2 linked regions of the Macaca fascicularis genome follow. The protein of the gene in region 1 binds, or shares a complex with, the protein of each later gene. Links are inferred from orthologs where the notes say so. Each region holds a gene or a part of one and is shown on either strand. Other genes may lie near its edges.

Evidence for each region.
Region 2: the proteins of PDPN (region 1) and C-type lectin domain family 1 member B are in contact, whole or in part, in a crystal structure (PDB 3WSR), measured with the Homo sapiens proteins. The link is inferred for Macaca fascicularis from reciprocal best matches to the Homo sapiens genes PDPN and CLEC1B. Residues at the interface, in NP_006465.4 of Homo sapiens: Ala46, Glu47, Asp48, Asp49, Val50; in NP_001380271.1 of Homo sapiens: Arg107, Phe116, Arg118, Arg152, Thr153, His154, Leu155, Arg157.

Annotation. Positions count from the first base shown.
Region 1 is NC_088375.1:221,697,361-221,701,836, reverse strand, and holds the start of PDPN (podoplanin), read left to right. Parts: upstream 1-1,562; 5' UTR 1,563-1,759; coding exon 1,760-1,826; intron 1,827-1,960; exon of another isoform or gene 1,961-2,070; intron 2,071-4,476. UniProt on the Homo sapiens protein: Mediates effects on cell migration and adhesion through its different partners.
Region 2 is NC_088385.1:10,910,030-10,914,327, forward strand, and holds the start of C-type lectin domain family 1 member B, read left to right. Parts: upstream 1-1,453; 5' UTR 1,454-1,474; coding exon 1,475-1,538; intron 1,539-2,184; coding exon 2,185-2,283; intron 2,284-2,408; exon of another isoform or gene 2,409-2,470; intron 2,471-3,283; coding exon 3,284-3,403; intron 3,404-3,563; coding exon 3,564-3,718; intron 3,719-4,298. UniProt on the Homo sapiens protein: C-type lectin-like receptor that functions as a platelet receptor for the lymphatic endothelial marker, PDPN.

The sequences.
Region 1 (4,476 bases):
ATTTGCATCTATTCTTCATCTAACAGGCTCAACAGACAATGCACAGTTCCTCCTGTCAACAGACATTATTGACACTAGAGTCATAAAATGCATCTCCAAGATGGGGAAGTCAGTTCAAGAAAGATTATCTGTATCACTAGTTTTCTCCTTCCATTTCCAACCCCTTGGCTCTAGGGGTGTTGCCCCCACCCCTCATCTTCTTGGTTCAGGGGCTCAGCTCCTGTTTGTAGCCTCAGGACAAGATGTTACCAGGGAGATCTTTAGAAATGCAGAATCTCTCACTACCCCACAACGGAATTGCACCTGCATAACCAACGCCCCAGGTAGATCCGGCTGAGAAGCTATGATGAAGGGTAAGGTTTACCAAATGTTCCTGGGGACAAGTTCTCCTGCGACACTGGTTTAAACTAGGAATTCCCAAAAGGTCTGATTAATGAGTTTGGAGTAGAATCCAGGAAACTGGGTATTTAAAACAATCTCTCCTGCGATTCTTAGATAGTAAATTTATAATGGGGAGGAGTCAAAGATAAGCATCTGAAAACAATTTTCACCCAGTGTGGCGCTTCGAGACAGCGTTACGTTCTTTTGTTGAAAGGAATTTGTGGCATCTGGGAGTGGAGCAGAGACCACTTCCCAAACTCCTGTTCTTCTTATTTATTTATTTTTTTTAATTCCAACAATTCAGAAGGAATTAAAGTAAAAGACGTAAGTTCTCCGGTTGCTGATATCTGGTACCTGAGATCAAGGCAAGATTGCTTAAACCAGTAAAGTGAGGATTATGGGGGCAAACTCAGGAATAAAGAGGGTGAGCTCGGCCTGGAAGGGGACACAGGTTTGGCGACCAGATGGGTCACCAATTGGCCCGGCCTAATCCAACTGCGCACGCCGGTGGGCCACAGCATCGCAGGGCTGGATCTCCTGGTCGGGAGAGGCGGATGGAATTCAGCCTCTGTTTCAAAACTGCCAAAGCCACCCGCTCTGCCAAACTCCCCCACCAGCCAGCTCTGGGACAGCCCTCCGGAGCCCACCCGCTCCCGTCCCCGGGACAAGGGCGCAATTGACCAGCGCGGGCAGCCTCCGGCCCACCCAGATGACGGCCAACTTTTTTTTTTTTAAGCCATCAAATTCAATATTTACAGGCACAACCCCATGCTTGGTTCTAAAACTACTGGCCACTCAAGGAACAGTTTACTTCTCACTTCTGCCCATAATAAGAAAAACAGACTTGTGCCTTGCTCTTAAAAGAAAAAAAAAAAGAATAATAAATATAGGTTTTTAAAAATTTATATATAATTTTTTAAACCCCGTTTGTTGCATGTGGTCCCTTTCCCTCCTGTTGCTGAACAGAAGAAAAGCCTATTTTGCCAGGGCCCACAGTCCTGGCGGCCCCCGCAGCTGCGGCCCTGTAACTTTAAACCTGGCCTGAGATCATCGTTTTGGCGCCGGCCAAACAGAGCCCGAGGGCGGGCCTAGCGCGCCCGGACGGAGACCACCTTGCGGCCGACCCCGCTCCCCCGCCTCCTCGGGAGAGATAAATGCTGACTCCGCTCGGAAAAGTTCTCAACTGCAAAGTTTGCTGTCCGGCTGCCTGAGGTCTGGGAAGCTCGAGCACCCTCCCGCGCCGGGGCTCCTGCTTCCACCGCTCCGGCCCCCACCGTCGCGCTCCTCCAGGCTGGGCCTGTGGCCGCGGCGCTTTTTAATCTTCCCCCAGCGCAGAAACTTGCTGCTCGGCCCCTAGGAGAGCAACTCAACGGGAACGATGTGGAAGGTGTCAGCTCTGCTCTTCGTTTTGGGAAGCGCATCGCTCTGGGTCCTGGCAGAAGGAGGTAAGACCCAGCGCAAGTGGCTTCCTGCGGTCGCTGATGGGGACGAGCGAGCAGAGACTTGCTGGAATGCCCGGGCCTGGTATTATTCGAGGTTGTCCAGGGGAGCGCGGGGGAGCTGAGGGTGTGTGCGTGCCAGGCGGCTCAGCGCCGGAGGAGGAGAGGCAGCGGCTTAGCCGGTGCCAGGTCCCAAAGACGCAGCTGCGCGGGTGTGCAGGGAGGAGCCCCGGAATCCACAGGCTGCGAGGTGGGCAGCAGAGGGGGCCTCCCTCCGAGTCGGCAGCGCCAGAGAGATCGGGTGGAAGGTTCACAGTAGGCAGCCCCGCTTGCTGGCAGCAGTGCCTGGGGTTTCCTTACCTTGGGGCGGTGTGTTGGAGGAATACGCACGCCTCGGGAGAAGCTGGCCCCATAGAATCGGGAGGGACGTTCAGGAGGGCTGGGGCCAAGAGGAGGGTTCCCCTCTCTGCGGTGGCCCTGGTCCCCCTTGAGACTACCTAGTCTGGTGCCCTGCCTGTTGGACGCCCTCAGCACCCCATCACTGGACTGGAAGAGGCCTCCTTTATCCTCCTTAGAGAGGATGGTGTGTGTGGAAAGGATCCAAGTGGAGGCTTCCGAGCGGTATGAGTGCATGAAGATTGTTACACGTTATGAACGTTGAGGTTTAAGTGGGTTTGAGCCACGTGTTCATCTTGGGCAACAAGTACAGTGACTGAATGCCTGTTGCTGACTCCTTAGGCTTTAAATGTATTGGGTCCCATGTTGGGGTGGGGGCGTCCACAGCTTCTATTCTCCTTTGTCCGCTCCTGGAGCCTTACCTCTTCCTGCTGGGTTGCTGTGTTGGTGGTCTCCGTTGACATCTGTCAACATTTTGTTTCTTTTCTTGGGTTTTTATTTTTATGTTTCCTCAATAGAACACATGTTCCGAAGGACGCAGCTTACATGCAGCCTTGATTCCCCACAGCCGAAACAATGCCTGGCACATAGTAGTTGCTCACTAAATGTTGGTTGAAGGAATTGTAAGCTAATTCGTGATCTTTGGGGCTGGAAGTTGCTGAGCTGTGCTGTGAAAAGTAAACATTTTCCAAAAATTGAGGATCAACGTAGGCCTAGGCCCAGAGGAATACTTTTGGAGAGGGTGGTTTGCAGGAGGGGTGCTCCTAACCTGGGCTCCTACAGTTGTCCACACAGACAAAAATACCCAATCTCAGGGAAATGATAGAGTGTACTGCTCTGTGCTGGGCTGTCTGCTTCAAAGGGACAGAGCAACTCTTTTTATAGGGGCCATGGGTTATTCGTGGCAGTCCTATCTTTGGAACTTCTCTTTCCACTGGAATATATACAGTTCTGTATTTTCAGTTACATTTCCTTTCTGGCGAGACAATGTGCAAATGACACCGTTTTGTGCTCACCAGGGCAAAGTGAGGGAGTGCCCTCACTTCAGCATCTCAGCCCTGCTAAAGAAAAAGCGGCTGGGTAACATCCTTTGTTTTTGCCCAGGGAAGCTTTAGCTGTGATTCTCTTCAGCCAGCTCCTGAATGTCAAAGGTACTCCTAAAAGATGGCATTAAAACCGAAAAACCGTCGTTGGTGCTGGAAACTCCACTACTAAAGAAAGAAGTGGTATGGGGGGCTGGCTGAGTGAGGGTGGGTGCTGAGTTGCCTGGCTGCCAGAGGAGCAGAGGCCCAGTAGGCTTTTTGTCTGAGAATAATGAGCGAGGCGACTTGAATATGGATGAATAACATTACTGAGGGAGGCTATAGTTGGCTTTTGTTGGGGAGCTGGGCTGGGGGGTAATTACGGTGATGAATTTTATGATCCTTTTCATAAGATCCTGCGCCCTACTGGCTTTCCCTCCTCCAGCGTTATAATCTGGTTCAGTTTTATAATCTGGTCCCATGTGTCATCTCTTTGGGTGTTAGTGGATTCAAAGGAGGTCTGTTGTCCACACATCTGGCGTTTTCTTCCTTTGTCAGGCCCCACCCTCATGCTGAACTTTCATCGGGAAGGCACGTTTTCGGGGCCTCTTCGTTGGACAGTTTATTTTGTGAGATTCTGCAAGCTGCTGCTCGCTGCTAACCCACATGGGCTTTTCCGGGACCAATCCACCCAGGATTAATCATGCGGCCAACAAATTTCCCTGTGATTTCCCCGAAACGCTTGCCAGTTTGGAGGCCCTGAAATCCTCATGAGTTGTTAAGAGTTTTTGTTGCACTGAAGGCACTTAATAAAGATCAGGTCTGTTAGAGGCTTTGTGAGGGCGGTCTCTGCATTGCACTGGTGTATAAGATCCAAAATAGCATTGAATATAGAAAAGCACAATTTAAAAAGTGTGTCCAGGCATGAGAAGACTGAGTCTGGACGTGGCCGAAGGAACTAAACCCCTGACTTTCTTTGGCTTCTATAAAATGAGCAGCACCTGAGGGACTCTACACTGTAGAATTATAAGGACCCCAAGCCTTGGCGTGACAGTGGAGGGTCAGACCAAGAAAAAAGGACAAGACCATCCTTCCATTCCCATCGCCCGCCACGTGCTAGGAATGTTTCTAGCTACCTCTTTGGATCCTTGTAACACCTGTAAATTACATGCTCTTATCTTGGAATATACCAGAACTGGGTTTGAAAAATAGGTCTAACTTCAAACCTCAAGCTCTTT
Region 2 (4,298 bases), on another chromosome or scaffold:
TCTAATGTTTTTTTTAAATTTTTAGTCCTTTCTTAAAATTTGGCATTTATTTCAAGTGTGATTTTTTAAATTAAGAATTAGTTTTGGTAAAAATATTTGAATCATAATAAGTTTGGCTTTCCAAAATTAGGGAATGTCTTTTATGTGTGTTACATTTATTCTTCACCTCATTCTCAAAGTAATTTGAAGAGTATAGAGACAGAAATTTAGAATGAAAGATAATTTTAAGTGAATTGACAAGGAATTCAGAGTGAAGCATATAGCAGGGAAGAAAAAAAATCTACAAGCTATGCCAAAGGGCAAGTTAATAAACAAAATATCGCCTACTACAGCCCACGTAACAACTATATTGAAAAGTTGAATACTCTGCTAATTAAAGAAAAATAGAATTTAGATTATTTATAAGGTAAATGCCTACTAAAAGTTTTGCTAGTCATGGCGATTTAACAAAAGTAAAAATCAGCCATAAAACTAAGTAAGAGCTACTCTCTGGCAAAATAGATAACATCCTTCCCAATATTCCTATAATAAACGCATCAGCTAGCTTTGTATGGCTGTGCTTATAACTACTTTCAATGCAAGCTAAGATAATTTAAAAGCACATTTCATAAAGTTAAATATGTGCAATCATATTACATTGTGATGGAAGGGTGCTAGGACTCATTCAGTCTTAAATATTCATCTAAGCACCACTGTACTTGAAATGAAGTGATTTCACCAAATCAAAATTCTTCCATTCCAGGAAACTCACTTTAAAGCACAAACACTAGTAAAGAACAATGCAGCAAGTCACTCACTCTGTATTATTTTACTTTATTTGATAGTTTTCCTTCAATACCTAAATCTAAGCAATATCAGGCCTGCCTCATGTGGATCCTTCAAATAAAAAATAAAATGTATAAAATATGCAAGAAGTTGTATAAATTCTAGGTTATAATCAGGAATGATCTCCTCCAACACAAGACTATGAAACAGCTAATTTAGCCCCTGTCAGATCCAATTATATTAGACTTGCTTCTCACAACGGGATAAACTATATATCTGCTGGTGAGCTATCCGTGAATTTTCATCAGAAATCTCTCATTTCAGCAATATAATTTAGACTAAGCTAGAGCTAAGATAAAGCAGGAACCTTTGTTCTTGGAAAGGATACATATGATGGAATGCCCCTTTATTTAGTGTTGAAGATAAAAAAAAAAAAAAAAAACAGGAAGCAAATACCCTATCTACTCCTTTACCACAAGTTATTATTATTTTTGTGTGTTTGTGTTCAAGATCCATGTATCTCTGAGCAGCTATGAAAAGGCTTCCTGGAAAACAATAAGCAAAGAAAAAAATGTGTCCCATCTCACATGGTTCTACCCTACTAGAGACAGGAAGATCATATACTGACAGATATTGAGATTGTAAGACTTGGAAACTACATTTTGCAAAGTCATTGAACTCCGAGCTCAGTTGCAGTACTCGGGAAGCCATGCAGGATGAAGATGGATACGTCACCTTAAATATTAAAACTCGAAAACCAGCTCTCATCTCCGGTAAGAATGCTCAGAGCCAATAATTTGGAAATTAATTTAAAAAATGAGTTGATTCAGTTTTTTTCTTTTTCTACTATGGATAGTGTATATAGTTTAATTTCTTTTTCTTGAATGATGTTAATGCTCTAAAGCATTTGAGTAGTGTTTTCATAAGCTCATACAGACCTATTTAGATTACAAGCATCCAATATACATGCAGGGAAAACTGCATTAAGGTTCTGAACGTTTAATGCTGGAGGGCATAGAAGTCAAGGGGATAAGGGAAGAGAATGTTTGGAAGTTTCGTTTTCTGAATGTGAGCAAATGAGTGTGATTCTTCATTTGCTGTTTATTAAAACAATTATTCATGGAATGGGTGGGCATAAGACAAAACAAAACAAAAAATACAAACGCATCAGGCCTTAACAGCAAGTAATATTTTGGCTTGGAGAGGTAAAGTCCATTGGGGATGAGGATGGGTGTGTGGTATGGGAGTGGGCCATGCCTATTGTTGATGATCATCAAGAGAACACAGGTGAGATCTGCCAGCAAAGCTCTTTCTATTACTTGGAGGACCCTGAGAAGGCAGGGGCAGGGGCAGGGGTGAGCCTTCCCCATAGCTAACCCGTACTGCCTGCTCCTTGATATCTTTATTATATGCCTACAGTTGATCCTGCTTCTTCCTCCTGGTGGCGTGTGATGGCTTTGATTCTGCTGATTCTGTGCATGGGGATGGTTGTCGGGCTGGTAGCTCTGGGGATTTGGTGTAAGTATTGACTCTGCCAGAAATTTGATTGGAGGAAGGTAATACTGAAAGGGTCATGGCATATCCCATTAAGCTTCTCAATGGTCACTATTTGTGTATTTATCACTACTCCAATTGTCCTACAGATAGTTACCAAGAGAATCTCAATAAAGGAGAATGCTGACCATTTCCTTGAGTTTAAGATAAGGTTTTAAGATTTTAATTAATTAAAAGTTATTTTTAAGAATGTACTACCAGCCTTTAAGACCCTCCTCAGTGTGGATCCAAACTATTTTTAAAAACTTCCTTGTCCCTTTTCCTATCTTGCATATCCTAAGAACCAACCAAACTAGAGTTTTTCAATTTCATATATAAATTCCATGTTTCCTTGTCTGAAATTTTTCTCATTCTATTCTCTCTGTCTAACGTTTTCTGCTTCTCATTTTGCTTACTAAATTATTGCACATTTCTTCTTTCTGTAATTCTCACAGCCCTCCAATGGCACACTGTAGTCTGTGGAGTTGTTGCTTGTTTGTGCATTTGTTGATTTTTTAAAAGATGTTAGAATCTAACACTTATCATCCTGTATTTCTTTATTATTTACCTAAATATCACAAGTACTTTAAGCATAACAAGAAATCAGTATGCACTTTTAAATGAATGAATAGTTTGGCATCACAGAAAGTACAGAAAATAAAAGGTCATTCACCTCTACAACTCAGTTGAGAAGCTTGTATTGAAGCAAGTGAATACAAGCTCTGGGGATATTACTGATGTTGGGATTTTTTTATTTGTCATTGTCTCCTTCAAACAGTTCACTCATTAACCCTCAGGTGTCAGTTCTATTTCTTGATTTGTTCTTTATAGCCCCTTCACACTTTTCAATATTCATTTAATCATGTGTATCTAGTTAACTCCTCACATATTGGCAATGTTAATGAAATGAAAATTCAATGACAGATCTTTGCATCATTTCTATGGTTCTAATTACAAATTATTATTATTTACTTTTTGAATCTAGCTGTCATGCAGCACAATTACCTACAAGATGAGAATGAAAATCGCACAGGAACTCTGCAACAATTAGCAAAGCGTTTCTGCCAATATGTAATAAAACAATCAGAACTAAAGGGCACTTTCAGTAAGTACTGTTTTTTTAACCTCTTCATCTCTCCAACCCCTGGAGCATTTCTCTTATGGCAACTGAAGGGAGTCTTGAGATATGCAGAAAACATTGAATGTGGAGAACATGTAAGCCCAATTTAGAAAAAATACACCATTCCTGTGCTTGGTTTCTCCAGAAGGTCATAAATGCAGCCCCTGTGACACAAACTGGAGATACTATGGAGATAACTGCTATGGGTTCTTCAAGCACAACTTAACATGGAAAGAGAGTAAGCAGTACTGCACTGACTTGAATGCTACTCTACTGAAGATTGACAACCATAACATTCTGGTAAGAAGATTCTTATGTCAAATATTTTGGAGGCAAGGGAGAGAAACCTCAAATGTAACACTTGACCTTTTTTGTTTTTTACATTTTTCTTAACATCTTTCCGTTTGTACTAATCTAAGAACCTTATGAAACCTAGTAAGAACTACAGAACCCAAATATTCAATCCAATCATAATATTCTACAACGTTGCTAGAGTTGATCAGTCAAATTGACTTGTCCCTTCCTGACAGCTCAGGACATAGTGGGTCACACGTAAAGAGTCAGCCCAGCAATGTTCATATTTATTTGTATCCTCTGTTGTTCTAACTTGCTGTGCTGTCCGCTTACTGTTTCTGTGGACTCAGACTCATGCGGGAGATATCCAGTTAAACAAATTAGCTTTTCTTTCCACTCCAGCAAAATAAGATAGTTTTCTAAAAATCTCAGCTCTATTATATAGAGATTAATTCGAGACATATATGCATATCCTGAATTTGTATTAGTCTAGGCAGATGCCAGGTTGAAGATTTATAACTAAAAGTAGTCATGCAACTTTTCGAGAATAAGAAATTGTATAGTTGGATTTCAGGTAGAATTTATC